Linked DNA regions of Daphnia pulex. The protein of the gene in region 1 purifies or fractionates together with the protein of each later gene. This does not show direct contact. Links are inferred from orthologs where the notes say so. Each region holds a gene or a part of one and is shown on either strand. Other genes may lie near its edges. The genes, in order: ribonuclease P protein subunit p20-like, ribonucleases P/MRP protein subunit POP1-like, ribonuclease P protein subunit p40-like, ribonuclease P protein subunit p30-like and inhibitor of Bruton tyrosine kinase-like.

The links.
Region 2: the proteins of ribonuclease P protein subunit p20-like (region 1) and ribonucleases P/MRP protein subunit POP1-like purify together in Homo sapiens (affinity purification with mass spectrometry; 3 studies listed by BioGRID and IntAct, with this or other methods). This does not show direct contact. The link is inferred for Daphnia pulex from reciprocal best matches to the Homo sapiens genes POP7 and POP1.
Region 3: the proteins of ribonuclease P protein subunit p20-like (region 1) and ribonuclease P protein subunit p40-like purify together in Homo sapiens (co-immunoprecipitation; 4 studies listed by BioGRID and IntAct, with this or other methods). This does not show direct contact. The link is inferred for Daphnia pulex from reciprocal best matches to the Homo sapiens genes POP7 and RPP40.
Region 4: the proteins of ribonuclease P protein subunit p20-like (region 1) and ribonuclease P protein subunit p30-like purify together in Homo sapiens (co-immunoprecipitation; 4 studies listed by BioGRID and IntAct, counting the BioPlex papers as one, with this or other methods). This does not show direct contact. The link is inferred for Daphnia pulex from reciprocal best matches to the Homo sapiens genes POP7 and RPP30.
Region 5: the proteins of ribonuclease P protein subunit p20-like (region 1) and inhibitor of Bruton tyrosine kinase-like purify together in Homo sapiens (affinity purification with mass spectrometry; 3 studies listed by BioGRID and IntAct, with this or other methods). This does not show direct contact. The link is inferred for Daphnia pulex from reciprocal best matches to the Homo sapiens genes POP7 and IBTK.

Annotation. Positions count from the first base shown.
Region 1 is NC_060018.1:3,380,702-3,385,652, reverse strand, and holds ribonuclease P protein subunit p20-like, read right to left. Parts: upstream 3,771-4,951; 5' UTR 3,588-3,770; coding exon 3,254-3,587; intron 3,198-3,253; coding exon 3,085-3,197; 3' UTR 2,668-3,084; downstream 1-2,667. Other genes in the region: eukaryotic initiation factor 4A-III, read left to right, coding at 27-165, 229-344, 408-643, 710-726; ATP synthase mitochondrial F1 complex assembly factor 2-like, read left to right, coding at 1,231-1,402, 1,511-1,710, 1,777-1,887, 1,965-2,032, 2,096-2,324, 2,388-2,522; malonyl-CoA decarboxylase, mitochondrial-like, read left to right, coding at 4,218-4,296, 4,379-4,716, 4,814-4,951. UniProt on the Homo sapiens protein: Component of ribonuclease P, a ribonucleoprotein complex that generates mature tRNA molecules by cleaving their 5'-ends. Also a component of the MRP ribonuclease complex, which cleaves pre-rRNA sequences.
Region 2 is NC_060026.1:2,973,477-2,979,880, forward strand, and holds ribonucleases P/MRP protein subunit POP1-like, read right to left. Parts: upstream 3,990-6,404; 5' UTR 3,948-3,989; intron 3,876-3,947; 5' UTR 3,851-3,875; coding exon 3,742-3,850; intron 3,673-3,741; coding exon 3,554-3,672; intron 3,492-3,553; coding exon 3,352-3,491; intron 3,296-3,351; coding exon 3,193-3,295; intron 3,134-3,192; coding exon 2,389-3,133; intron 2,329-2,388; coding exon 1,424-2,328; 3' UTR 1,401-1,423; downstream 1-1,400. Other genes in the region: dnaJ homolog subfamily C member 9-like, read left to right, coding at 101-194, 285-437, 495-661, 740-963, 1,048-1,273; histone H3, read right to left, coding at 5,157-5,567; histone H4, read left to right, coding at 5,867-6,178. UniProt on the Homo sapiens protein: Component of ribonuclease P, a ribonucleoprotein complex that generates mature tRNA molecules by cleaving their 5'-ends. Also a component of the MRP ribonuclease complex, which cleaves pre-rRNA sequences.
Region 3 is NC_060026.1:1,154,544-1,160,175, reverse strand, and holds ribonuclease P protein subunit p40-like, read right to left. Parts: upstream 3,523-5,632; 5' UTR 3,422-3,522; coding exon 3,299-3,421; intron 3,238-3,298; coding exon 2,931-3,237; intron 2,870-2,930; coding exon 2,744-2,869; intron 2,679-2,743; coding exon 2,495-2,678; intron 2,434-2,494; coding exon 2,219-2,433; exon of another isoform or gene 2,162-2,218; coding exon 2,076-2,161; 3' UTR 2,007-2,075; downstream 1-2,006. Other genes in the region: uncharacterized protein LOC124204677, read right to left, coding at 5,148-5,211, 5,269-5,440, 5,513-5,551, 5,622-5,632. UniProt on the Homo sapiens protein: Component of ribonuclease P, a ribonucleoprotein complex that generates mature tRNA molecules by cleaving their 5'-ends. Also a component of the MRP ribonuclease complex, which cleaves pre-rRNA sequences.
Region 4 is NC_060018.1:995,043-1,000,076, forward strand, and holds ribonuclease P protein subunit p30-like, read right to left. Parts: upstream 2,678-5,034; coding exon 2,645-2,677; intron 2,579-2,644; coding exon 2,510-2,578; intron 2,451-2,509; coding exon 2,241-2,450; intron 2,141-2,240; coding exon 2,073-2,140; intron 2,011-2,072; coding exon 1,931-2,010; intron 1,863-1,930; coding exon 1,711-1,862; downstream 1-1,710. Other genes in the region: uncharacterized protein LOC124188900, read left to right, coding at 1-205, 271-473, 547-672, 760-834, 917-1,093; dynein regulatory complex subunit 4-like, read right to left, coding at 3,363-3,617, 3,686-3,797, 3,858-4,045, 4,110-4,277, 4,339-4,743, 4,805-4,922, 4,984-5,034. UniProt on the Homo sapiens protein: Component of ribonuclease P, a ribonucleoprotein complex that generates mature tRNA molecules by cleaving their 5'-ends. Also a component of the MRP ribonuclease complex, which cleaves pre-rRNA sequences.
Region 5 is NC_060022.1:2,496,766-2,503,064, forward strand, and holds the start of inhibitor of Bruton tyrosine kinase-like, read right to left. Parts: upstream 3,515-6,299; 5' UTR 3,161-3,514; coding exon 2,701-3,160; intron 2,633-2,700; coding exon 2,322-2,632; intron 2,253-2,321; coding exon 2,220-2,252; intron 2,155-2,219; coding exon 1,945-2,154; intron 1,883-1,944; coding exon 1,752-1,882; intron 1,692-1,751; coding exon 1,601-1,691; intron 1,531-1,600; coding exon 1,466-1,530; intron 1,404-1,465; coding exon 1,115-1,403; intron 1,060-1,114; coding exon 526-1,059; intron 452-525; coding exon 254-451; intron 196-253; coding exon 1-195. Other genes in the region: neuferricin-like, read left to right, coding at 3,691-4,069, 4,152-4,292, 4,354-4,540, 4,607-4,772; FYVE and coiled-coil domain-containing protein 1-like, read right to left, coding at 5,117-5,432, 5,499-5,707, 5,769-6,299. UniProt on the Homo sapiens protein: Acts as an inhibitor of BTK tyrosine kinase activity, thereby playing a role in B-cell development. Down-regulates BTK kinase activity, leading to interference with BTK-mediated calcium mobilization and NF-kappa-B-driven transcription.

The DNA.
Region 1 (4,951 bases):
ATTACTAATTATTTTATGTGGTTTAGTGATGAGTTGACACTCGAAGGAATCAAACAGTTCTTTGTCGCTGTCGAAAGAGAAGAATGGAAGTTTGACACGTTGTGCGATCTGTACGACACACTGACAATCACGCAGGCGGTTATTTTTTGTAATACTAAACGCAAGGTTAGTCACGATTAAATCTCTTCTATTGTTGATTTCGATGTAACACAGTTAGATTGATTTTAGGTTGACTGGTTGACGGAGAAAATGCGTGAAGCGAATTTTACCGTTTCTTCAATGCACGGAGACATGCCTCAAAAAGAGCGTGATACTATTATGAAAGAATTCCGTAATGGTCAGAGGTATTGAAATTTTCGTCTACCATATAACCATTCAGAGTAATAACAATTATTCGTTTATTCTAGCCGAGTTCTTATTACAACTGACGTTTGGGCTCGTGGTATTGATGTTCAACAAGTTTCGTTGGTCATTAACTACGATCTCCCTAACAACCGTGAGTTGTACATCCATCGTATCGGTCGTTCTGGCCGATTCGGACGTAAAGGTGTTGCAATTAACTTTGTCAAGAATGACGATATCCGTATTCTCCGCGATATCGAACAGTACTATGCTACACAGGTTGACGAAATGCCCATGAATGGTAAAATATTTTTAGCATGTTTTTTTTTAACTCTTTCTAAATGTGTTTGTTTTTAATCAATTTCAGTGGCTGACCTCATTTAATCTATAATCCATTTCGGAAAAAGGAAAACAAAGAAGTTGATGCGTCATGTTTTTATTTTGCTGGATTTTTTTTTTCTGTATCCCCGAAGATTTGGACTAAATATATGAAACTTGTGGCCGTTTAATTAATTGTCTTGTTCCATTGTTGGAGTCTAAAAATGACGTCTACTTTACTCGTAGATCTGAAGTAATATATGAACCTTTTGCTCATGAGTTATGACTTATTGACTTATGAGTTATGACACAGTATTTATAATAAGGCATGTTGATTTTTTTTACTCACTTTGAAAATACTTGCGACAATTCGAAACCAGTATTTGAAGGACGTTCCAAATTCCAATTACAAAGTTAGATTTGTTGTATCTCTAGTAGCTGAACAAAAGCTAGAAACTAGCTGAAAACTTGGTTGCTGAAACCCAGTACCCCACATTTCCTTTTTTCTGTTTGAAAACAGTTTTGGTCTGCTACAGTTCGAAGCACCCGGTTGTTGCTTGTTGGTGGGTGATGAAATCATTTGTCACCTCGTCAACAATGTCTTTTTCAACTAATAATTTAATACGTTTTGGCTCCGGCACTTCTAATTTATTGAGAATACTTGGTAATAATCAAATAGGAGCTGGAAACGGTGTTACTAGTCGATCCATTCAATTGTCGTCAGGAGATCAATCATCTTTGGGTATTTCATTTTACACCTCGTTAATCAAATTACGATGATTATTTATTTTTTTAGACACATTTGCTTCTTTTTCCAGCACATTACAATGTTCTATGTTTTTTATTCCAGGTTCTCAAACTCGCAAAAGATTTTACAAAAAAGTCAGCACTGTCCAATCAAATAAAGATTTTGAAATCATTCTTGACAATAGAAAACTTAAAACTCCTGCAGGTAGTGTATTTCGTGTTTCCAGTGAACCATTAGCTCTAGCTGTTGCTAATGAATGGGATGCCCAGGAAGAAAAAATTTTAGTATCGTCAATGCATCTTGTGAGTTATGGTAAAAGTTTTCTTATTGCTTACCAATCTTGCTTACAAGTTTTCTTTCAAATATAGACATCTCTTGTTAACACTATCCTGGATAATCCAAACAAATTACGAAAACAAGATATTGTCAGTCACATTCTTACCTACCTAGACAATGATACACTTTTGTGCAGGGAAGAGGTAATTACTTGATTTAGTACATATTATACAGGATAAACTGATAAGTTTTGTAAAACATATTTTAATGCAAACAATAGGGTAACTCTGAATGGTCATCTGAACAAACAAAAGAGTGGGATCCATTGGTTGACTGGTTTAATCAAAGGTCTGTAAAAAAAAATAAGTAATAAAACCGACAATGTAATATAAATAATTTCATCGTTTACAGATATGGTACGAATGTTGAGTCTTCAAGTGCCATCACCGGTCCGTGTTTACCCATAGAAGCAAGAGATGTTCTTCAAAAGCATTTGCACTCATATGATTTTTGGACTCTTAACGGGCTAATGTTTGCTGTAGAATCAGTGAAATCGCTGATTTTAGCTCTTGCTTGTGTCGATCGACATCTTACTGTGGAAGAAAGCGTTCGGTTGGCCACTCTCGAAACCAATTTTCAAGTATTAAGATTTTGTTTTTCTTACTTTCATAAATGCTATCAGTGTTAACTTTGAACTCTTTAGACTCGACAGTGGGGCCGTGTAGAGTGGGCTCATGATGTCGATAACTTCAATGTGCAATCTCGCTTTGCAGCTTCTATCCTATTTGTACATCTTACATCAAGTTCTTCATCAATTGAAAACAAATTCAAGAAATAAATACATGGAGTCTGGTAGTACTATAGGTATTAACTGGTAATGTTCTCCTTTGTTTTTTATCTGAATTGTATTTTTGGTGTAGTTTTGTTGCATACAATTTCTAAACAAGGCATACATTATTATTACATTTTAATGTCCTTTAGTATTATTTTCACATCAGTGTATTTGACAAGCCCTTATCATGAAGAGTTGGAGCATAATCATAACAGGGGCTAAAATCTCAGCATAATCCATTGACAACTGCCCATTCAGTTTTTTGCAAAGAAGAAATTTGAAAGCAAAATGTAAACCAAGAATGGTACAGCTCCACAAAGCTCTCAATGGAGCTGCCTTATACATCCCTGCAAGAAGCATCCTTAAAAGCACCACATAAACAAAATAGCAATGTACACCATCAGCAGCAAATAAAGGAGAAAACACTAACCACCAGTTAAAGGTCACAACAGATTCAGCCTTCAATACAAAAAAAATTGAGAATACAGTAAATCCAACAATATGGAGCCATATCTCTATAGGAGTAAGGCCCAGCAGGCGAGTTGTTTCTTTCAAGGAGAAAAACATTTTATTTTCCATTCATGTCCATGTTCAACAATTTGTAAACTTTAATGATGACTGCAGAATTCTGCCTTTCTTTAGAGTAGAAATCTCCAGAATCGTATTGAGGCTCAAAGTCATCTGAAAAATTCACAATTATTTTATAATAGTATTACAAAACACAACAAAGATATTACCAATCAAGTGAACTGTTGATGTATTTACTGAAAGTTCTAGAGGAGTGTTTGATTTCAGTTGGATTTGCAACGCTAGATTTATTGCTTTAGGAGCTGCTGCTCCCAGACCATGAATATGAACACTTGATTCAGTTTCTAAACATTTGAAACAGCGAGCGAGTTGAGCCTTGAAATCTGTTTTATTGTTGACATACACGTCGTTTGATCGTGACGGAAGCCGAGCTGGCAATCGTTTTCTCAGTTTGTATTCTTCTGGATCGTAGCGTATTTTTTTAGAGTTTGGTACCTGCTCTTGTCTGACACCTGTCGCGGAATCGTTCGTCCCCTCTGACATTGTCAAATTAGACAATATGGCATTGCTAACTGTACCCGTATTAATACTATCCACACGTGATTACAAAATCACATACACGCAGTTAAAGTCGAGCTTCAGAAAAATTAGAATACGAATACGTAGTGTACAATGAAAGGCCTATGCCTATGCGAGTATACGCCTTATTAATCTCCGCTAGGTTCGCTAGTAAAGATACTTTTTTCGATTTTTTTGCTTGGTAAAATTAATCCAGGTAAAACAAAAAAAATGTATATTTATTTATTTTTTTAATGATAACAGCTGGGAATTAACGTAAATTTGCAGTATCAATATTTGGCCTAAAGTTTGGAAAACCCAAACTCGTATCTTGGATTCTTGGTCAAAGGCCTGTCTGGCAGCCATCCAAACGCACTCTATGACCTGTGGCGCAGTGGCGGGCTCTAAGCAAGTGAGCATACATGAATCGACGAAAACACGTCTGGGCCCTGGGGGCGGGTGTATGACGTCTGTTTGGGTGCTAACTGCTGATCATACTGCATCCTGCTGCATCGTTCAAAGTTATCTCTTGCATTGGTTAACGGAAAATCCCAATATTTATCTCTTGTTTTTGATGAAACTTAAAAGGTAAAATTCATGGTTCAATGTACATGAATGGTTTTGAATATTGGGAAAATAGTTGCAGCCAAAACCTTACATCGTAATATATGGTTCCAAGGTCGGCCAAAAAAAGGTATACACCTCGTGAGACTACGTTTACAAAGTTCTCCCGCCTTATAAAGCCCACTAGCTCTATATGTTTCTCATTCGCGCAGCGTCTTTGAACCAGGAAGGAACAGTTATGAGTCGCATAGCTTTGATTTATCCCAAGCTAGCAATCTTTAGAAGCCGGACACAACTGACTTCAAGTGCATCAACTGCAAGAAACTGTGATCTGATGAAGAATCCATCATTCAATACCCAACTCAATGTTGTGTTGATGAGTCTCAACAACATTCAACTAACACAAGTAAACACCTTTTCAAGCAACTCGGTATCAAACCCAGGCTTCCAAACAGCAAGTACTCTCATTCAAAAAGATCTTTTTGAGCTTGCTTCAAAAGCTTTATTGGAATTGCAAGAATCGAAAAACAGCAGTAGTCTTGTTGTGGAGGTAAACTTTCAATTTTTCATGTTTTATTGTTTTTCTTGTTTTTTAGTTTAGTTTTTATTATCTTATAAAACTAATGTTCTCTTATTTTTTTTTTTAGAAAAAAGCGCATGTTTTCTGTGATTTATATCGAACATTGCAGCATTCCGAAAAAAGTCTAATTCTTGATCAGTTTGCCTTAATATGGAGTGGCAAACAAAACACTACTCTCAATTCAGTGAAAAAATATCTTACTGCA
Region 2 (6,404 bases), on another chromosome or scaffold:
GATGTGGAGAATATCTACTGCAGTCCTCGTGAAAACTTTTATTTAATAATTGTAAATCTGAATTACAGTATTTGGCAGTGATATTTATCTTGCATTTATCATGACAAGCTTAACTGAATTGTGTGATAAACATTTTAACTGCTCTTCTCTTTATGAAGTGTTGGGAGTAGAAAAAGATGTGGATGAAGCAGCAGGTAGGCATTGGCAAAGATAGAAATATACAACTTGAAATGGTATTGCTAATGTAAATACCTTTTCCACTTCTTATGATTAAAAAAATGTAGTGAAAAGGGCTTACTACAAGAAGTCCCTAAAGGTTCATCCTGACAGAGTCGGCGAAGAAGACAAAGAAAATGCAACAGAAAAGTTTCAAACTCTTGGTAAAGTCTACTCAATCTTGAGTGACAAAGAAAAAAGGAAGATATACGATGAAACAGGCAAGTAGAAATTATTACACTAATAGCTCTTGTAACTAATAAAAGTTTTATTTAAAGGCTGTGTTGATGACGATGATTTTTCAAAGGGTGACCAGAATTGGGAAGACTATTGGAGGTTTCTTTTCAAAAAAGTAACAGAGCAAGATATTACAGAATTTGAAAATAAATACAAAGGCTCAGAAGAAGAAACTACAGATGTTAAACAGCTTTATGAGCGTTACGAGGTAATTGCAGGCTTACATTTTGAATGACTAATGCTTTGACCATAACAATAACAAAATTAATCATAAACTAATTTGTAGGGAGATATGGACATGATCATGAGTTCAGTTATGTGTGCTACTGCCGATGATGAACCTAGAATACGAGAAATTATCCAGAAGATGGTTGACAACGATGAGGTTACTGGCTATAAAGCCTTTACTTCAGAATCCAAGAAAAAGCAAGTCGCCAGGAAGAAGAAGGCTGATCGCGAAGCTAAAATGGCAGAAAAAATGGCTGAAGAATTGGGACTGAAGAATGATGGGTAACAAATTTTTATTCTTTTTAAGTTTCTGTATAAGTTTCACTTTATTAACATATTTTATAATTGATAACTAAATCTTCTTAGAAGCGAAGACAGTCTTCGAGCTTTAATTCAGAAAAGGAACACGGACAGAGCCGCATCAGCTGACAATTTCTTCAGTGCTCTCGAGGCCAAGTACGGGGGTAAAGCGTCTAAAGAACGTACCACTAAAACGAGAAAGCAAAAGAAAGAAAGCAACGATGAAGACGATTCGGATAGTGAGGAAGTCATGCCTAAACGTGGGAAGAAAGGAATGGTTGGAAAGAAATAAAATAATTTGATGTTCTGCTTTCACTTTCATCCATTATACCATTACCAATACAATCTCGCTATGGGTAATGTACTATTGTAACCAAGAATTGATGTTCTACATTACACATAAAATAACTTGTGATAACTTCAATTAGTTTGTCAATGTATTTTACTCCATTGTAATTTCAGCCCACATGTACAAATTAGTTCCAGGATTTCGAACCAACACAAGAGACAAAGGTATTTGTGAAATGGCACGAATGACTATATATCCACGACCAATTCCTTTTCCTTCGCTAAGACCGAAATCTCCTTGAGTGACAAATCCAATGATCGGCCTGGCGAATGAAGTTTTTAAATTGCAGGAAGAAGGCAGCCATAACGAGCGAGTCTTTTCTTTGTGAACAGCAATTGCAGTGGCGCTGGAGAAGTCCCCAATGGTTCCATCTTTATCCCGGAATTCTTTCCTCTTTTTCGCAAGACTCTTCAGAAGGGAACTGTGCTGTTGGCGTAACATTTTCCGTTCTTTGGCGCAGGGATCTTGGTGAATAGGCTCGTTAATTACTGAATTAACTTTATCATCGGCTCCCGGTAAACAGATCATTGAAAATTCCTGAGGTGACCCGTGTTTAACTCGAACTGTCACGGGCACTAAATAAGGTTGAGATAATAAGATTTCGGGTAGCACAATCCTATTCTTTTGACACAATCCACTTAGGAGCTTCTTGTCACGTAATACAGTGAAACCTGACTCAGACTGACCGATCCAGTCGATTGTAAGGCGATCCCAATCGACGCAGAACGGAAAAGGTGTGGCTAATTTGATGAAGTTGGTTCTTGTTTTAGGTGGTCTACGAAAGTATTCTTCCATCAAATTCATTTTTCTGTCAACGGCAGTGGCTTTTCCTGCTTCACTGTCGATTTCTAAGCAGAGATCCCGACAAATTCCGTATTCAAAATTCATGCTTCCCGCATCTTTCAAACCTCCAGCGTGCCCTCCACTATAGATCAGTGCAAGCCAGAAAGCTGTAGCCCATCCAGCCGGCAAAATGACGTCACAGCCAGGAACAAAATCTTGAAAGGAAAAAAAAAGGTAAAAAAAAATTACATAATAAAAGAAATGTATTTACTTACCGCTGCTCTCGTGAGATGCATTCACAATGAGGATTGGAATGGGGATTTCTTCTGGCTGGACGGGTAACTCGGTGCCAGGAACAAGTAATTCACTACGACGGTTATTGATGACGTGATCGGGTAAACTTGTTCGCATATTGGTAATTTGATCTCGAACGCTGGCATCCCACAATTTACTTTGGCTCAATCCTACAAGTTCACAGTTACCTACCGTGGAACTGGACGCTTTGATTCGGGTTTGTGCGAGTATCATTCGAGGATCTCTGACTTCAACACTGGTGACAAACCCAGGTGATTGTGATAAACTTGACGCGCTCCTAGTTTCTTTGTCGAATAACGACGATACAACTGAATGTGCAAAGGGCCCTCTTAATCTGAACCGATTTAGCTTTCCTTTGTTTAAGGTAATCTTGACTCCAGGAGGCTTGCATAATAAGTCGGAATCGGATTCGAAAATAGAATTCAGCTCACACAGAAACTGTTGGTAGAAAGCTGGATGGCTCCATATCCACAAGGTTCGCATATCCGGATTCCCTGTATTGCACCACAAAAACGTAACCAAGCCGATGGGGCCGCTCGAAAACTGATTTCGCTTGAAAATGATCACTCTTCCTTCACGAGTGCCATTAAGGAAAGTAGACGCACCAAACGTTGGGCCAGTTTTAGGATCACAGAGAGAGATAAGGCCTCGAACGATCTCATCCTGTGGACCTTGAATTTCAACGCAACACAAGTACGATATGTCCTTTGAACAAAAAGAGGCAATTAATAATTACGTAAATCATTAATATTTTGAATTGATACCATTAGCAGGCAATGTTGAGCTACTGAACGGTAGCAGAATCTGTGACTGCGAGCGCAAGATCTTTCAGGAAGACGATGTCCCCACTTGATTACCATGTGAAACCTAAATGGTAAAAAGTAGTAACATGTCCTTAACATAACCTACAAATGGAAACAAACCTTTTGGCATGCCACAGGTGTGTTTCTAGCCAAGAGACTTTACTAGATCGCTTTTTATACTCTTCCAGCAATCTGCTTGGTCTGCGTCTATATTTCCTTCTAGGCCTCTTAGGCTGGGTTGCTGGACCACTCTTTGCCATCTAAATCCACATAAATATAGAGTTTATTCAGTGTGGAGCTATACTTTTATAAGCAGACTTACTTGGGCCTTGTGGGCTTCCCTTAAGGTTCTTGGCATTCTGTTTGGGTTATGGCTCATTGCTCTTCTTCGCATATGACATGGCAGTTTTTGAAAAAGTAATTTGGTGCATTGTGGATTTTCTTAAGGCAAACAACATGTTAGCAAATGTTGATAGGACAACTCTTTTTTTGGGGAGGGGGGAAACTCACCTATCATTTTTGTGAGAGCAACAATTTCCTGGGCTCTAACAGAAGAAAATCGAACGACTGATAAATCAGAAGGAACATTTTGCGTCATTTTGTTTCTTTCGTCAGTCATCTTACAAAAGGTGATTTTTACTTTTCTAGTAAGCAACGGTGATTAATTCAAATAAAGTTTGAAATTTTGAACATCAACATCACATGCTCTAACTCACGTGTCAACTAACTTGTTGTCGTTTTCGTCTGCTGTGGTAATCGGTCAATCTCGTAATCTCGTTGCCAAACTTTCCATTACAATTCTACGCAGATTCAATCTTCAATTTTTTTCTATTTTTCAAATGCTATTATTACCAATTTACCAGAACCACAGAACTACTGACTTACTCTGTTGTTTTATTTGAAGTGATCACGATATGGGTTAGAGCGGCGTTTTCATTTTCATATTCACTTTTTTAGTAGTTATCACATTCACATCACACATAACACAGTAAATCACCTTCCGGGGCTTCAATAAAGAGTAATGGAAATTTTTGAATCAATAAATGTGCCGTCCGAAGACGGGAGTTCGGAATCCATTGAGAAGTAGAGTCTTTTCAGACCGCTGACCTCAGAGAAATCAGAACTGAATCATTTACTCTCAGATCAAGTACTAAATGAAACAATTTGTTGTAAAGGTTAAATCTCTCTTACATAATTTGTTTTCCATTTGTGTTAAAGCGGGAAGAGAATTCCGTTCCGCTTCTACATATTAAGTTTTGGGAGGTCGCTGGTCGCACCGTCTAGAAAGAAGATTTTCCAACTGTTGGCCAACAGGTGGCTTGTTTTGTTTACTAGGTCGTCTGCATATATAGATTTTGATTGTTGTCTATGTTCTTGTTTCTCATTTTTTTTTTTGGGGGGGGGAGGATTATTGATTATTAAAACAAATAATTAGGGATTTGGAATGTGGTTGTGAATTTAAATGAAGTGTTAGGATTGAAAGATAAGTGCTGAGGACCGCAAGGATAAACCGACTGCCTGATTTTGTTTGCAAACCAGGTTGGTTCAAAGTTTTCAGTTTCCCATGATACTAATTTGTAGTCTAATCTGTTTACATGGTTTGGGCTTTACTTATTTGGGTGCAGTTCTAAAATAGGGCATGATTCAATATCTTTCCTTGTTTACCAAAATTTAGAAGTTTTCCATTGCACATTGAAACCATCGAAAAGGTTATGCTTGTGAAATTCTGGCATTTAGAAAGAAACCGTGGTTAGTGATGAGTAGAGTATTCTTTATTTTAGGCCATTCACATCAATGTGTGACGGTAAGAAAGATTTACAAGAATATAGTAATGAAAACAATGGTTGATTGGTAATCTTCTTCTTTAGTAAATGGTGGCCCTGAAAAGGGCCGATTGGTAAGTCAAAAGGGATTTTAAAAGTCGCTTAGGCACGTTCACCACGAATACGGCGAGCGAGCTGGATGTCTTTAGGCATGATGGTGACTCGCTTGGCGTGAATGGCGCACAAGTTGGTGTCTTCGAAAAGACCCACCAAGTAAGCCTCGCTGGCCTCCTGCAGAGCCATGACGGCCGAGCTCTGGAAACGCAAGTCGGTCTTGAAATCCTGGGCGATTTCTCTGACCAAGCGCTGGAATGGCAACTTGCGGATCAGAAGCTCGGTCGACTTTTGGTAGCGACGGATCTCACGAAGGGCGACGGTGCCGGGACGGTAACGATGGGGTTTCTTGACTCCTCCTGTGGCCGGGGCACTTTTGCGAGCGGCTTTGGTGGCCAACTGTTTGCGGGGCGCCTTGCCACCGGTGGATTTACGAGCGGTCTGCTTGGTACGGGCCATGTCGAACGACTGAAAGTTGAGATAAGGAAACAGTGGGGGGATGATGGGTTTATATAGGGGTCCAGGGAGACGTTGAGGAATGTATGGGATCTCTTTTTCAGCAATTGGTTGTTGGGTAAAATGGGAGGGAAGTTGAGGAATACAAAGCTTGGGCTTTGTTGACCTGAGTTGGGGTGGCTGTTAAGCTCAACCAATGCGGATGGATTTCCCACCGGATCGATTAGTATATAAAGGGGCCCTGGTGGAAGCATTCGACATTCAGTTTGTTCTTGTACTCTCTCTGAAACTCATTTAAAAAAATGACTGGTCGCGGCAAAGGAGGTAAAGGACTCGGCAAGGGAGGCGCCAAACGTCATCGCAAAGTTTTGCGTGACAACATCCAGGGAATCACCAAGCCGGCCATCCGTCGTCTTGCCCGTCGTGGTGGTGTCAAGCGAATCTCTGGTCTCATCTACGAGGAGACCCGTGGTGTGTTGAAGGTGTTCCTTGAGAACGTGATTCGTGACGCCGTCACCTACACTGAACACGCCAAGAGGAAGACGGTGACGGCCATGGACGTCGTCTACGCACTGAAACGCCAGGGCCGCACTCTGTACGGTTTCGGCGGTTAAATTTGATTCTGATTTATTATTTAAACTCCGACTCAATCCAATCGGCCCTTTTCAGGGCCACCATTTACTTAAAGAAAAAGATTTCTTAACCACTTTAACCATATTCTTGTCGACTTTTATTAACAAGAATAACAAAAACAATCCGATTTTATACAGGCTTTGGAGAAGTACGTACTATCTTTTAAATATGTGTTCGTGCATCATAAAAAATATTTTTCTAGATATT
Region 3 (5,632 bases), on another chromosome or scaffold:
GCCCGCCAGCAAGAAAACAGTAATATCAACCACAATCAAAGTAAGTCACCAACAATATTCGAAGCAATTTTGTTTTAACAGATCAAATAAGATTTTCATGATCTATCTCTATTACTACTAATAAATAATGTGTTTAAGTAAAACCAATTGAATCTTCGAATATATTTCCAGTTTCAGCAATTGAAAAGCAGACCATTTATAGTGACGCAAATACTTCCTCCTCTAGTAGTCCACCGGTAAAATGAGTGTAACCCCTACCATTTAGATAGATACCGGTGGAGAGTTGATTAATTTCAAACCAAATTTGGTCGCCCTTTTTCAACCTCAGCGTTGATGGCAGAGAAAAGGTTCTCCATGTGCCTCTTAGGGCGAACGCATTAGCGTGACAATATGTGATGTCCTTGCCATTTAACTTCAGCGCAATGTAGAGGAGTAGTCTATAAGAAGATTCCGGAAACCACGCCAATCCGTTCAGGTTGAAAAAGTAAGTCCCTGTTGTCGTTGCCGTGAATTTCCCCGTTGATGTATTCATAGCTCCGCCCACATTTACTAGTTCTTCGTCGAATATAATTGTTGTATTTGCTTGACTGAAAACATCGTTCTTGTTTCTCCTGACAAAGAAGTAAGTCGGTGTAGATTTGATATCAGAAAATCCAATTCGCGTTTCAAAACCTATATTAATTAAATCATAAAAGTCATTCCAATGCTCCTTCTTTTGAGCAAATCAAAGTATTATATCAGAGGATGAACTTACTGGGATCGAAAGTTAATTTGGAAAAGTCGCAGTAGACTGTTTCGACATACTTAGCTCCCATTACCGAGTACACTCCATTGAATTGGTGTCCTAGACTTTTAAGATCCAAGCAGGAAGTGGGCATTTTTGTTGCTAGTCCTTGTCTCATAGTAGCGTTACTTGGGGTTAATTGACTGTTGATTGAAGGAGCATTCCCAATTCCTTGCTTTAGATTTACAATCTTTATAGTTCGTTAATATCCGGTTTAACAGTGAAAGCGATGACTTACATGTTTCTGGTCTTTTAGTCTCAAAAGTTCTTCTAACTGAGCATCTTTAGCTTCTAGTTGAACAATTTTGATATCCATAAGTTGCTTTAGGTGAACCTTGCAATTTAAATAGTTTTAACATTAAAGCTAACCTAAATGAAATTTAATTAAATAAAACATTTTTGATTTATTACATAGCTTTCCTTCAGTTGCTGTAATTCTTCTTCTAACGTGAGTTTAGCTGCGCAACTCGACCAGGTAAAAGACAAAATTAGTATATAGAATAACGCTGTCGATAGTGGAGCCATTTTGCGATGGCCCCAAGTCGGAAGGTTCCGTTTTCCCAACTGATTTAGCGACAAGGATTCGCTATGGGTTTAAAAGGCTCTTTGACTAAATCATTCAATTTTTCGTAAACATATTGACTTGGTTGCGTTTTACACAGTTGCAGCTGGTGTATCTCCTTGAAAGGAACAAACTCCATACGAGACTGGTGCGGTCTGAGAGGATTCGAAACTTCTGTTACGAATAATCATGTGGTAAATATTTTTCTTTTGTGGTTTTATTTCAAGGTATTTCGCAGCAGTGCACCGACAGCTGTTGATTGAATTTCCTACTGAGCTGTTGACTCATGGCCCTCTTTTTGTCAAAGGTATGTCATTATTAGTATACACAGTCGTCGTTCAGTGAAAACGTTCTTTGTAAAAATTTGCGGTAGAAATAACTAGTTTCCGCGTTTTTTGCAGCTGTGTAAAGCTTGATTTCTTTTAAAAACGTATTCAGTCCTTAAACATAAACAATACGCAATTTTAAGTTCTAATCATTAAGTAATGCTATGAAAAAATTGTTTTGCGACACAGAATTTTAGGCTGTTTGAGGACATGGCTATTACATTTCTTTCCCTCCTTTTTGTAATGGCAAAACTCGAGTGATACCGGAGTGCAGTTGCATGTGTAAGCAACTATGAGGTACAGATATAAAAGATTAATTTTTTGTTTTAATCGATCCAGTATCTGACTTAATTTATTCAGATGTGTTTTTACAGAAGATGAAATAACAAAAGTCGAATTGAATTCATTTGATTTTCCTTCTAGATGTCTGGTTTGTAAAGACTTGGCAGTTGTCCGATGCCGTTGTAAAAACCGAGCAAATACTTGATGCTGAAAATTAAAAATAAATTAATATGTGAAATTAACATGATTGCCAATAAAACACACCTATTTGGAATTCATCAAATCCAATGAGAGTGAGATTAAGCCATGATTGAACAGAGTTTTCTGTTGCTTCTGGTCGCAATTTCAAAATCACGCCGAGTAACTCTTTTGCCTGTCTTGCAGAAAAAAATCCTTTCCATTTCAAGATGTGAACCTTTTCAGATTTATAACTGGGCTCTGGGCATGTCATTGAAGAAGTGTAATCTTCTTGGTCAGGACTTAGATAAATAAAACAAAGAATGTAATATCTCAGTTTACTCTAAAAGCATATCTAGTTACCATGTGATATTCAATGCAGCAGCTCCAACCCATTCAACAACATCTGAAATGTCTGTTTCAGTGCATAGCAGTGGAACCTTTACTTGATTTAAAATTCTTTCTTCAAAGGATGGCAGACACTGAACTACCTGAAAGCCAAGCAAGTCGAGGTAAGCAGCAAGGGAAGATGGGCAGATGTCAGAATCTGTGGTAAAAACATTATTATTAGTCAACGCTTGATACAATTTCCACTATTAAGAAAAGCCTTACCGTGTGGATGCCAATTCATGATCCAATCAAATTGTAGACTTGTCTGATTTTGTAAACACCAACTAACTCTTTTGTAGTATTTAGAATCAGGGGAAAACTTATCATCAAGAAGATTAACAGAAATGTCTACGAAAACCAAATACAATGTTAACAAACTGAAAAAATTTACAGTGAATAATTAAGTTACCGTATTTAGCAGGACACTTTTTGGATGAAATTACCTCTGCTTGGCCACTTAACCCTAGCTCTTGATACACATCTTTGCAGACAGAAAGATGAAGTTTGCCTGATTCAACAACAATACTCTGATCAACTTCACCCCATGTTCCTAAAGTTCTGGCATCAAAATGTCCTTTTTTAACAAATGCAGAGAGAAAATCAGGGTCCAGCAACTTATGAACGGGGAATTTGTTAACTCTGTAAAATGTTGAGTCTAAAAAGAAGTCTTGAATTTCAGCTATTTCAGTAATTTCCCCAGACAAGATTGCAGTAATCTGTAACAAGAATACTCCTCTATTAGAATAATGTAAAAAGTTATTGAAGTTTCACTCTTACCCCATGAAAATGATTTCCTAGGTCTTGGGAAGGCACTTTATTAAGTATTTGGTCTTTCTTCCATGTGCATGTTTGTTTCAAGGATTTTGGTGGAGGAAAATTTATTACCTCTGGATTGTACATTTCAGGAAGTATTTGAAAGTTAATTCCAACGAAAAAAGAAGAAGTTTTCGATCCGGTGTGGTTTGTAATTGTTTTGTTTACTATTTTAGTCAGTTCCTACTCCATCTAGCGAAAACGTTTTTAGTTATCGATAGTTTATCTCAAAGCTTATAGATGGCGTCACTATCATTACGCGGTTTATTTAAACTATCTAAGTCGACTATATTATAATAATGATATAAAATACCTAGGCAATGAATAAAGAGGGCCAAAGAAGAAGTTACGTGGAAAATTCATAATTTTCTAATGATTTTCTAATGAAGTCTGGAACTCTGGAAGATTTTGTACGATACAATAGATTAACCGAATATTTGTAGCATAATGAATAACGACCACTATGTAAGCATTCAATTTAGTGATCAATTTGCTGCATTACGATAATTGCATTAATCAGAATCATCTGGAAAAGGTCTACAAAAAGAAAATACTGTACCCGCTAAGCTTGCTTTTCCTTTAAACACCCTCCGAGCTCCCACAAAAATCTCTTCCTTTTTATAAGTATTTAACCCATTAATCTTATTTTCCATAGAGATTACTCAATAATTACTTACCCAGACTTTTAATAATTCAGAAATCAGAATATTCAGAATTGATAGACCTCTTGCACCGTGCGGATAGCAGGATTCTTGTAGTCCGACAATGTTGCAATCCGCCATCTTAATAAAACCACACCCTTTTTTTACATGGGCTCTTATGGGAGTATTTTTTCAAAGTGCTTTTTCTCTTACCTGGATTACAACTTCGACCAAAGAAAAATATGGAAAAATACTACATCATTCAGGTAATCCGTAGAATGTAAGTTTTCCACTATTGAAGTAGTGGAAGTCATATTAATTAAATGTTTTGTACAGGGCATCCCCTAAAATTTCAAAGTTGGTTTTATCACAAGTGTGTTGTCAAAGGGTGTCCTTCTTCTTTTCTGCGCCCTGCGATCAATTTTAAGAGCTCATTAATGGGCTGATCTCCTGATTGAATAGCCAGTATCGTGTTGATATGTATTTTTAATGATTTCATATTCTCATTATTCTGAGGTCGACACTTTCAACTCAATTGCTGTTTCTGATCTAGGTCCTGGCTGTTGCACATGAATATAACAGTTATTAAACCCACAGCCAAATTGATACTTCTATTGAAATTCATTACTTTTTCTTTAATGCAATCCTAACATATTCAAATTTTTTTAGTTACAGGCTAGGGATAAACTCACAGCATTGGAGGTTTCACAGGAATTCCAAATATCGATTGTGTTGGCACAAGAACGTCTTTATTTCATGGAAAGAAATGGATTGATTTGTAGAGATGATACTGTTAGAGGCCTTGTCTTTTATCCTAATCTCTTCTCAAGTTCTGCTTAATAAACATTTAAAAATTGTATTAAACAAGTAGTGCACGTCTAATAATTCACACAGAAGGAACTCTATGGGTTAACTCTTGAATGTAATAGTTTTAACAACAATCCGATATGCTGTACATATTTGTTGTGGATTGAAATGCACATTCTATATCAAAATCTACAAAATGGAATGGAGAACCTGATAGATTAATGTAAAAGATGAGATGTTAGGCAATGAACAGCCAAATGGCAATTGTATTTTCAAGCACAGCATTGTCCCTCAAGAGAGATCAAACGAGAAGTTTTTCAATTTCTTGTTGTAAAGACTGAATCTGTGGTTTCGGTTATGATCCCTCATGTACAGTCACAGAACAAGCTGCAATAACAGAACGGGAGACTCCACAAGCACGTCCAAGTGCTAAATAAAGAATGAGTTTATTATAGCACATCTAAACTAATAATTTTATAAAATTACCTTGCTTTGAACGGACAAACACATATGACATATGGAACGTTTTTGTCTTCACAATCACACAGCAATGGCAGATGCAACAAAATCTCCAGTTCAAAATCTCCAATTCGCAACATTAACTTGTTTTCCGTATCGTGTTTCAGTGTAAAATTGACACACACACACACACGACAATCTAAATAATAAGGAAAAATCAATTACCAAGTGTTTCAGTGGGAAAATGTTAAAAATTGTAAGTATACTATACATGTTTTGGTCCTACATATGTAAACAATGCCCATATGCCCTATACAAAACATTTAATTAATATGACTTCCACTACTTCAATAGTGGAAAACTTACATTCTACGGATTACCTGAATGATGT
Region 4 (5,034 bases), about 2.4 Mb from region 1:
AAAAAGAAAAAAAAGTTGATGTACCAAATCAAATCAAGTGTTGATTTGGATAAAGCCGAGCTACTCCTTTACGAAGAGGTTACTCGCATGCCACCGTTTCGTCGGAAGACTTTGGTACTGGTAGGATCGGAAGGCATCGGGCGACGTACATTAAAGAACCGGCTGATCAACAGTGATCCTGATCGGTTTGGAACCACCATGCCTCGTAAAAATTTTCTTCATATCGCAGATTGCATTTATACGCACGGATTAAACATGTTGTATTTGTAGACACGTCCCGGCCGATGCGTGAATTGGAGGAGGATGGTATGGGCTACTGGTTCGTCTCGCGCGAAGAAATGGAACACGACGTCCGTGATCATCAGTTTCTCGAATTTGGAGAGCACAACAATCATATCTATGGCACAAAGTTAGATACCATCCGCGCCGTAATCCGCCAGGGCAAAATGTGCGTTCTTGACTGCAGCCCGAACGTAATATTTCTTTAATAACATATTGACTAATTAACACCATAGCAAAGCTCTATTATCTCTGCATTTCATGTAGGCATTAAAAACTCTACACAATTCACCAGAGTTCATGCCTTATGTCATCTTTTTAGCTGCACCTGGAATGGACCAGTTGAAAAGTCTTTACGAGAACTCCCGATATTCCAGCCGGAATTTGGGAACGGTTAGAATTCTATTTTTTTTTTTCTGTTTTCTAAATGTGTTTATGTTTGTGTAACTTACCCCATTTTCCCCCTTTTGGTTTAACTAGTTCGATCGTTCCAGTTCCATTCGTTTCAGTTCGAGAAGAGCACGTACTCTCGAATCCCTGACATCTTTATACGAGGTTTATTTTCGTACATGTTTTGCATGTCGTATAATCTAGTTTGTCCCCAATCAATTTAATTATTTCAAATTTTGCTCTACAGGAAGAGGATTTCAAAAACGCCTTGGAAGAGAGTGCTCGTATTCAGCGAATTTACGAGAAATATTTTGATCAGATTATTATTAATGAAGATCCCGATCAAACTTTTCGCAAAGTGGTTGAAGCATTGGAAATTCTTTCCAACCAGCATCAATGGGTCCCCGTCTCATGGGTCTACTAGACAAAAAACCAATAACAAAACGAATTCATTGCCAATTAAATTTCAAGCGATTTTTATGATTCATTGTATTCTTTCTTCCTCACTTATTTGACCGCATGCAGCCCACAGGTCCTGAACTTCTAGATCTTCCAAGAATCTGAAAACTTTTTACGTCCAACTGTTCACGTCTCCTCGTATGACAAAAGGGACAAAGTTGAGTTATTTTATACACACAAAATTTATTCATTCATTTGATTGAGTACTTTCTAAGCAGCACCGTTTTAGATTTTGTGACAGAGAACTTGACATATCCTTAATTTTGATTGTCATTCAATATAATACCTGAAGTGCTAATATGAAATTAAAGATCTTTCAAAAACGAGAAGATTATTAAGATTTAATGTTGTGTAGGTAGCTTTTAGGCTCTCTATACCTAGGGCAACATTTTGTTTGCATGAAAGTGTGAATGTCTATGACGTGCGATACATCGATCTATAATTGCAACATGTAAAGCCCTCCGCAAAAGCAGCTGTAACTTCAAATTTTCTGTTCTTATGTAGTTCAGCCATAATCTATTGATCAAAATGGAATACAAGTAAGTGCAAGATGTTGTCGAATTTCGTTTTTTGACTATTAAACTAAGCAGTTTCCATTTTCATCTTTTTGGGCTCTGGTTCTCCCGCAAGTCTTTCTTCCGCGTCAGTTATTTCCTTAGCTTTCCATTGTTCCTCTGGATCCAACTTGTCAGTTTCAGCAATAAAGCTGACACATTTTCCTGTTTTTCGAGTCACTGGAAATTCCCGAATGAAAAATGTAAAAGTGTAAAGTTAAATGCAGAAATTTATAGGGAATATATACCAGCATGAAGTGCAACGGATCGTCCACTCAAATTTAAAGCAGATCTAGCTTCTCCTTCACTTAATCCAAGAAGTAATCCTCTAAAATATGCAATGACTTATTTAGTCTCGTTAATAAGCAGTATCAACAATGTGTTCCTTACAAATTCGCTACGTCGTAAGGATTGCGAAGTTCTAATGGTGTAAGAGCTCCACTACTGATTATGACGTTCTACAGGAAGAGTTGAATATATATAGTAATAAACAACTAAGGCTCCAAAACACAAATAGTAAAATTTGGTCATTCTGAATTTGAAATAGATAAATCTCACCCGGGATTTGCCAACTGTATGGTACAAATGTGAAATCTGGATAATCTTTTTCCTATTTGACGAATCTCTAAGCATATGTGAATAGGGAATCTCAAAAAATATTCCTCTGTCAGTAGCTTGGCGATAATGTTTTCTGGTGAATCTCAGCAATTCTTTGGTTTCAGTCGGATGGTAGGTGATTATGTCTATATCCATGTTGGCTGCTGCATGCTATTAAAAAAAATAATTAAATAAAATTGATTTCAATCATAAAGATAAAAATAAAATACTAGAAAAGCAGCCGTAGTTGTTGGGCAGACAGCTATCAAATCAGATTTTTTGGTATTCCCCGATTGGATCTTTTGAGAAACACAAAATGCTTATCAGTAATTCCCAAATAAAGTGCATTTATATGGAGTACTCACAAGTTTCTGTGTATTCACAGGGTCACTGAGCATGACAGTCAACCGATGTAAGATTTTAACATTCTTCCCATGGACCTAAAGTAAGAGGTAAATTTGAATATAAAATCAAATCCATAGTTTCATTTTACAATACTTTAAATAAGTTCAACTCTTCTTCGGTGAATTTAAGTTTTAGAGGAGGTGGAACATCTTTTTTCTCTTCCTTTACTTCATTTTTCTTGTTCCCTTTTTTCTTGGTGTTGATTAAAACATCTTCTTCTATTGTTGTGTTAATAGCTATGGCACTATAACCAACTGAAAGAAAACAGAACAGGTGAAAACGACGAAATAGGGCAGGATTTTAACTAATTCATTTACGTTTGACAGCTCTCAACACGACTTCTTTAAGTGTTGTAGTAGGACTGCATGGACATGGGATATTGAAATCACAGAAACCTTGCACAGTGTTCATTGTTTTATATATTCGAAAATCTTTTGATAATTCAGTCACGTGCTTTGAAACAAAATCACAAATCACAAACGAAGCAAGCATGTGAATCAAGCAGACGAATTTCTGTCCCTCTAGCGACGCAAATTTATTTGTTTACCAACTTGACAGACACTTGTTAAAGGAAAATCACGCTTGATTTCGGTGTTTTTAAACAGTTAGAACACTAAGAAACAATATAACAATTAAAATGTGAAGTAATTAAATTGAAGTAGATTGTTCTGTTTTTGTTCAGTTGGCTGTTTTTAGTTTTCGTTGAGTGCTGGTTCCAACACCAGCACCATTGATGTCCAGAACTGCTGATGTAGACTTTGTTGAACCTACAACTGATTTGACAGAACCAGATTTGATGCTGATTCTTTCTTCAACAGCTGCTAAACTTTCATTGGAAGATTGAAATGATTTATCTGGAAGCTCCTCGTGGTGTGGTGCCTCAAAATTCATTTTAACCACTGTCTGTTTCCTCCCTTCTCTCAAAGACGATGACTGTACAGATAGAAAATGTGAATTAACAATTTGCTGATTAAAAGTGTGAGTGAAAGTGTGGAAATTACTACAGTCTCGCCAGACGCATTTGTACCCCCATCACCGTTTGAACCCGGACCGTGCGAGGTAAATTGCTTCAAAGCATTGTCCTTACACTTGAGAGTTTCTTGTAAAGATTCTCTGAAATCCAACAAATTAGAAGCTGTTATCTGTTTTCTCATATCTAATGAATTATTTTACAATTTTTTCTCTAGAACGAGTTGCTTCAAATTAGCTTTCTGTTGCACCTCCAGTATGGCAGCCATAAAGTTTTCTTCCAACTCATCTCGTTCAGTTTTAGTTCGCGCTAAACGCTGCTCAGCTACTTCACGTTGCCATACTGCTTCTTCAAGCTGCTTAGACATTGTTTTAGCGTGACCCTTTGCCGCCTAAAAGGTAAGACAATTTTACAATTTGTTTCCTTTGTAGAAAATGCTTGTAACGTTAGAATACTTGAAGAGAAGTTTTAGCGTGCAGCCAGTTTTCTGTGTCTTTCTGCAATTCTTTGTTACTTCTCTCCAATTGCTCGCATTTTTCACGAAGGTGCTTTATTTCTCTATCAGTCCTATGAAACTGCTTCTCCAATCTTTCTTCTTTAACACGAAATTCGGACAATTGTTCCTGGCCATTAGGATACTCAATTTTACGATTACGATTCTACAAAAACAACAGTATGTTTTACCTTCATAGAGGTGATAAGTGTCATGTTGTTGAGAATGATATCGTTGAAGTAGTTTTTCAGATTTATTATTGCCTGCTCGTGATTGATTTTCAGTACGGCCAAATGCTGTTGATCTTTTGTATCAACATCTTGCAAATCGCTCCTCCTTCGCTTTTCTAGTTCGTTCCTTTGCGCTTCCGTCTGATTTTGGAACTTGAGCTCAAGTTGTCTAGCTTCGTGCTCTAGACTTTTACGCATCTCGCTCATTTTTTTCGAGTGCTCCAATTTGATCTTATCGACCGTAAGTTGCTGTTGAAGACTAAGCTGACGTATTTCCTCTTTTAAACGCTGCTGTTCTAGACGCAGTATTTGCTCTTGCTCCTGATGTTCCAAATGAGCTTGCTCTAAAGCAGTTTGTTGCTCGTTCTATATAACAAAGAATTTAGTTATTGTTTTCATTCAACTTTATTTAAAAGTAAAACTAAACCCGCGATTCAGCCAAAGTTGTCTGGTGTTCATGAAGCAGGCATTTTATTTGCTGCTTGTACACTGCTATGTCCTTTTGTCGTATTTCTTCTGCGTCGTCTAACTCTTTTTCTTTATTCCTATTCATAAATGAGTCAAGTAAATCTTTCGTGGTTTTCTTAGAACACTGTAATTCAATACCTGAGACGGGCTCGTGTATCCTCAACTTCTTCTTTTGCGACTTTCCAGAAA
Region 5 (6,299 bases), on another chromosome or scaffold:
TCCAACAAGTGCTGATTCGCATATTGAAACCAAACGAGGAATCAGAAGGAGATCGGCCGATACCAAGCAATTGCTTATCCATTCCACATCTTCTGATTTTTCCACCTTTGAAGCTTTATCTTCGTAAAAGTAGTCTAAAATAACTTCGAGAACCAATGAATGAATAGGAAGGGGGATCTTTTTCGAAACTACGCTCTACAAAGGAAGAAAATTTAAAAAAAAATTCGAATTACAACGTCGATAAGTTATTCACCTCAATCCAGGCGTAGCTGAACATACTTCGGAAATAATCCGACCGAGCAATCAAAACAGCGCGATGTGCATCAAACTCTTTACCGTCGTTACTAACAATCTTAGTATCATAGAAATCGTCTCCGGAAAACCGATTCCATTGTTTCGGTTGAAGGTATAAGCGATCATTGCGAATCAAACCAGTATTTGCAATGTGGGCCTAAATTTAAATGCAAGTATTTGAGATACGCAATAAAACTGAGACTGAAATGTTCAATGAGAAATAATTATTACCTTGTCCAATATTTCCGCCAGTTTTCGAAGTCCTACATTTTTCGCATGAAATTGTACCATTCGAAGGACACGTGACAATCCATCTCGTTCATTTGACTTCCATTCCTCGCCTTTTACTCTTTTCAGCTCTACGGCGCTAGGAAGATCTTCCGCATAGTTGTCCTTATCCAAAGGTTCCTCCAAAGGTAACTTTAGATTCCACTTGACGGCTTCAGTTTCGAAGATGGCACAAGTGCCAGTGTATATAAATTCCAATATTAATTCAAAAACTTCTGCTGGGACGTCGGTGATGTGGACAGTTTTGTTATCATTTTTAAAAGATAATGATGAAGCACAGACATTCTGGTAGAAAGCGTTGCAACTTGCAGACAAAACAAAACGATGCGCAGCAAACGTTTTTGATCCCACAAGAAAAACGATATCATGTGTTAGATCATAAGGATCAGCATCCTGAAGAAGTTGTTTCAAATCCGTTTGCAATTGGGAAGGAGGAATGCAAATCTGAGCATCTTTCATTTCAGCGCTAGGAAGAATCTAAGAAAAACACGGAAATTAAGTGCAAGAAAGATGAAAATTTGCAAGCACTTACCTGAATTACAGCAAAGTTTTTACCAGCTGGATCACACACAATACTTGTCGCACGATAAACTCCAGGTATTCTCTGAATTTGAATTCGAATCAAATGTTCCTGCTTATGAAGCTCTATTCGTGAGACATTTTCTTGAGTAGCACAATGAGCTTCTGTTTTGCGTTTGCTAACGAACCTTTTCCCAATCGTACCAACAAAAGCTCCACCTTCTATGTTGACAAGTACAATGGCATTTTTGCAAAGTGAAACATCCTTTATAATGCAAAACGGGCTACCGCGAAAAGCACATCTAAAAATTTTGCGACGAGCAAATTAATCAGCGAAATTATTACTTCAACATCTTTCACATACTTTGTAAGCACCGGATGTGTTTGTGACCAGATATATATTTTTCCACTCTTCGTTAAAAGAAGAACCTGAACGCGTTCAAAATGGAATCAGTTTAAAGTTGTATAAATATGCCGAAAACTAATATGGCAATTTTACCTGAAATGGAACGCTTGTATCAGCTGCCAAATCTTCTTGAGAAAAATCCAATTTACCTCCTTCCATGACTATTTTCAATAAATCATATTGCCTAAGGAGAAAAATCCTTGTTTGGATATATGAACGTCACCGAAATTAATTGTAAAAGTACTTTGAAGCGATTTTGCGACACTGAAACTCATGCAACACAAAGACGTTTCCACCTTCTGTGGCGATTGCAGTTGCACCATCAGATGCTGCTACGTGAGTGATTGTGTAATTTTCTTCAGATAAGAGTGGAACCTGAATTAAATGCAATTAATTCCATTTCACAACTCAAGCAGATATTTGAAATGAATGTATACTCGTTTAGGCGTAATGACGGTTTTATCCCCTTTGATATGCCCAAGCGCTCCAGCGTTAAGCCCACAAGTGTACACATTACGTTGACACCAAAACACCGAATGAAAGCGGCTTGCAGAAATACCCTTGATAATGACTCCTTTGCTTTTGTCTTCAAACCGGGTAATAACTTTAGGGGCGACTAGTTGATTCGGAGGAGGATTGTGGCCTAGCTGAAGGAGGCAAAATAAATGGATAAGTTAACGGATTATTATGTTTATAACTGCGTAAAACTTACTTGATGATACATATTGCTGCCAAAGGACAAAACCTTGTAGATTGAAAAATATTTGATAAATAAATGCCATTTTCGTAAATAATGTATAATCAACCAACTTACATTTCCACCTTCAGTTAAAAGGATTGTATGATATGTTCCCAAAACTGCCTCCAGGATAACTGCAGACTTTTTCACTTTGCTGTTTGAAGAGTTTTCAGCATCTATGCTGATTTTCTGTGGAATTATAACAGTGGCTTCTGAACCAAGTCCTAGTTTGCCTCCTTGGCCAATTCCACAGGAAAAAGCTTGGCCTGATAATGTCAGAAACACTGAGTGGAATTTGTTCATAACCACCTTCTTAATGCCACCACTTCCTTTAGGAAAAATATCCAATAATTCTGGTAATTCTGGACTTTGTTGCTTTCCAAGTCCTGTAGAAAAAGAATAGGAATGAATATTGATTTTTTTTAAATTTATTTAAAAAAAAATTGCATCTTACCAAAATTTGAGTTTGATCCCCACACATGTACTTGAGATGGGAGATTAGCATCAAGTTTATTCAAATCGGATCTGTCTTGAATTAAATGGTCAAATGGAGACATATAGTCATTATCTAATGGATGAAATAAGCTAGCATTATTGTGCAGCAAAGCTCTTGCAGCTTGTAATTGCCCATAATAAAAAGTTCTATGTAAGGCAGAGTACCCAGACTCTTCATCTTTAGCATTGACATAGACATCATGAGAAAATAGCCAATGCAGAATTTTCATTTTCCCGAGTGAAGCTGCAACTTGTAAAGCAGTTCTTCCTGATGAGTCTTTATTGCTGGCTATGTTACAGCAGGTTGGTAAAAGTTTCATAACCATATCCTCAAATTCATCACCAGCAGCGATGAAAACTGAAAATATGCTATCTGCATGTTTTCTTGAAGAACATTTTGTTGTGCATTCTTCCCACATGTTTAATGCTGTTGATGATCAAATATATGTTATATGTTCTATCTCAACAATAGAATTATGTTTAAATGAATAGCCTTTTAGTCAGACATGCAATTCAGTTTAGGAATTAACCTTTGGGAAATGGATAAGCTGTCACTTTTTGAAACGATTTTTTTTACTTAATATTCACAACTGGGTATGCCTCTATATAATGCTTGTTTTTAGAATCTTGATCAATCTTGTTGAGACTTACGACTGTTGACTATTCGTGTTCACTTGACGAAAATTCTCCCAAATATGATGACGGAACTCTTTGTTTACAAGGTTTCACTGCCATCTGTAGTCACTTGTGCGAGCTACTACAATTCGTAATTTTTGACACCAAGTCACAACAGCAGACAACAGAGACGTCAAAACATCTCAGTATTTTTTATTTTGTTATCAATTGCCTGCGGCCGGTAAGTGGATAGCGGAATTATCTAGCCTCGTGCTTGTATCAGGGTTTAAGTCAGATAAGTAACGAGACGCAGTCTGAATTGGAACTAACCACGATGAACAAGTTACTGAAGTTATCCTTAGCCGTACTTCTCCTTGCATCTGTGATCGCTTGGTTTCAACCAAATGTTTTGCATAATAATACCAAATATCTCCACGATGTTGCGGCAAAATTTCCTGCATTAGTATCTTTCTTCAAATGGTTCCATGGTTCTAAAGGGTCTACTACTTCAACTGATCATTCTGATCATGCTCAACTTAAAGAACCAACATCAGCACCTGTTGAGCCCACACGTGTCTTCACAAAAGAAGAGTTAGCGAACTACAAGGGAGAAAATGGGGGTGACATTTACCTTGCCATTATGGGTAGAGTATATGACGTCACCAGAGGAAGAGATTTTTACGGACCTGGAGGGGGTTATGCTTTTTTTAGTGGCAAGTATTATACAGTACATGAAATGTATTTAGTACTCTTGTATATTATGTCGCCAATAACTGTTGAATGTTGTATTTGTAGGAGTTGATGGTTCCCGAGCATTTGTGACTGGAGATTTTAAACCAGAAGGACTCATTGATGATATAACTGGATTAGGAAGCCAAGATTATATAGGACTTAGAGATTGGTTGGACTTCTACACAAAAGATTATGAATACATTGGTAAGTAATTAGTCCAAAAGTTTTGTTGTTATCATGTTTATGTAATATTTTCTATCTTCAGGTAAACTTCAGGGATTATTCTTTGATGCTGATGGGAAAACAACCGAATATTATCATGATGCTCAACAGTGGATAAAAGAGGCCTCTAGTCACAAAGAAGATGAAGACTTGTTCAAAGAGAAGTTTCCCATGTGCAATATTGAATACAAGCCAGAAGAAGGATCTCGCGTGTGGTGTTCGACAAAGAGGTAAAATTACTACATGTGTTATGAATGAACGTGTGTGATTAACTGATGCCATTTTGTCTTGGTTAGCGGTGGAATCAAAAGGGACTGGGTAGGATTTCCTCGCTCTCTCTACTCAGCCGATTCCAAAAATATTCGTTGTGCCTGTGCTCAAGAGGCTGATCTGAATGATTCGTTGCTTAAAGAATATCCCAACTGTCCAAAAGATGCAACTTCGTGCATGCTCCCAAAATGATCGTTCTTATATTGTTGAAATTTCCCTATATTTTGTTTTGTTCTTTTTACTAGTGTCGCCTTCAGTTGCTGTCCTTTTTCTGTATGTGCAACCGATTTATTGTTTTATGGGATGTCAGTGGGATTTATAGCGTATAGATTTGAAGAGAAAAAAAAAGGAATTGGACCAAAAATAACCACACACGTTCTATTTTTCAAGTCATCAAAATGTAAAACATAAAAAGATACGTCTTTTGTTGTTGAACCTTAACGGTCAGTTATTACTTGGCGAAAGGAAAATTTGAGAAAGAAATAATAAAAAAGAGCTTTTTTTTTCATAATACTTGGATGTTGATTAGGAAATGTTTAGCCGGAACCATTTGCGTTAGGATCGTGTTCGTCTACGTTGGAAACCAAATTCTGTAAAAGGTGCTGCAGAGCTGGGTGGGCGTGTAAAACATCGATTGGCAACGTTTCCAACACTTTCGAGACGGATTTTGACCAGCACACTTGAGCGTCCAACCGGGCAGAGAGATCATTCCAGCGGTAGGAACCTAAGTCAACGACTTTTTCCATAGTTAACGGCTCAGCTTCTTCTCCTGCCTTCCGTAGTTTGTTTAGTTCTTCCTTAGCTTCGAGCAAAGCTACAGTCTGAGCGTTAAGGCTTGCCAATAGTTGTTCTCTGTAGAGAAATGTTTTATGGTTCACAAATTTTTGATAACAGAAACAAATGAAGCAAGTTTGTTACCTTTCGTCATTTAGTTGATGCATGGTAGAATCTTTATCCAGAATCAAACGCCGCAGAACTCGCAACAGCTTCGACAGAACATGATCGGTTTCTTCGATTTGGTCGACCAGGGAAGCGGCTAAGCGCAACTCTTCATCTATTACTGGGTTGGGTTCTTCGCGGCCTTCAGGTGGACGACGACGAGTGAGATTGATGGCGTCACTCAGATCCTAATGCAATGTATAAAAATTAAATACAAATTTATCCAACAACAGCATTTTTGTAAACTACCTGTAAGCTGGTGCTTCCGACAAGCCGCTGAATCGGCTGTGTTTGTTCAGGCATTTGAGAATTGTCAGTTTCAGTTTCATTAGTATCATTTTCTAGATCAGCTGACATTGTCGAGAATTCGATCAGATTCGGCAGCTCAGCAGAAATATTTGAACTCTCTTCCTTAAAAGTCTCATTAGGGAAGACTAAAGCTTCTAGTTCAGCACGGGGTAAGGTGTGACTTTGCAAAATTATTTGAAGAAGTCCGTCCATGCGTGAGTGCAGCTTAACTAGATCTAATGCCGCTGCCGAAAGCTGAGCTCCTTGGGCCAGCAGAACAGAGCCCGTACGTCCTTCAGCTCCTTTCAAGTCGGCTTGCAGAGCAGCAAGTTCATGTCGTCTTTGCTCTGCTAACCGAACAAGATGTTGGCACTCTTCTTCTTTAAGCAACAAGAGTCGTTGGGCGTCGGCAAGTTGGGATTTCAGCAAGCCCATTTCGGATTCAGAGTCACGAACGGCTTCGTGCAAGGCGAGTTTTTCTGCTTGCAAGAA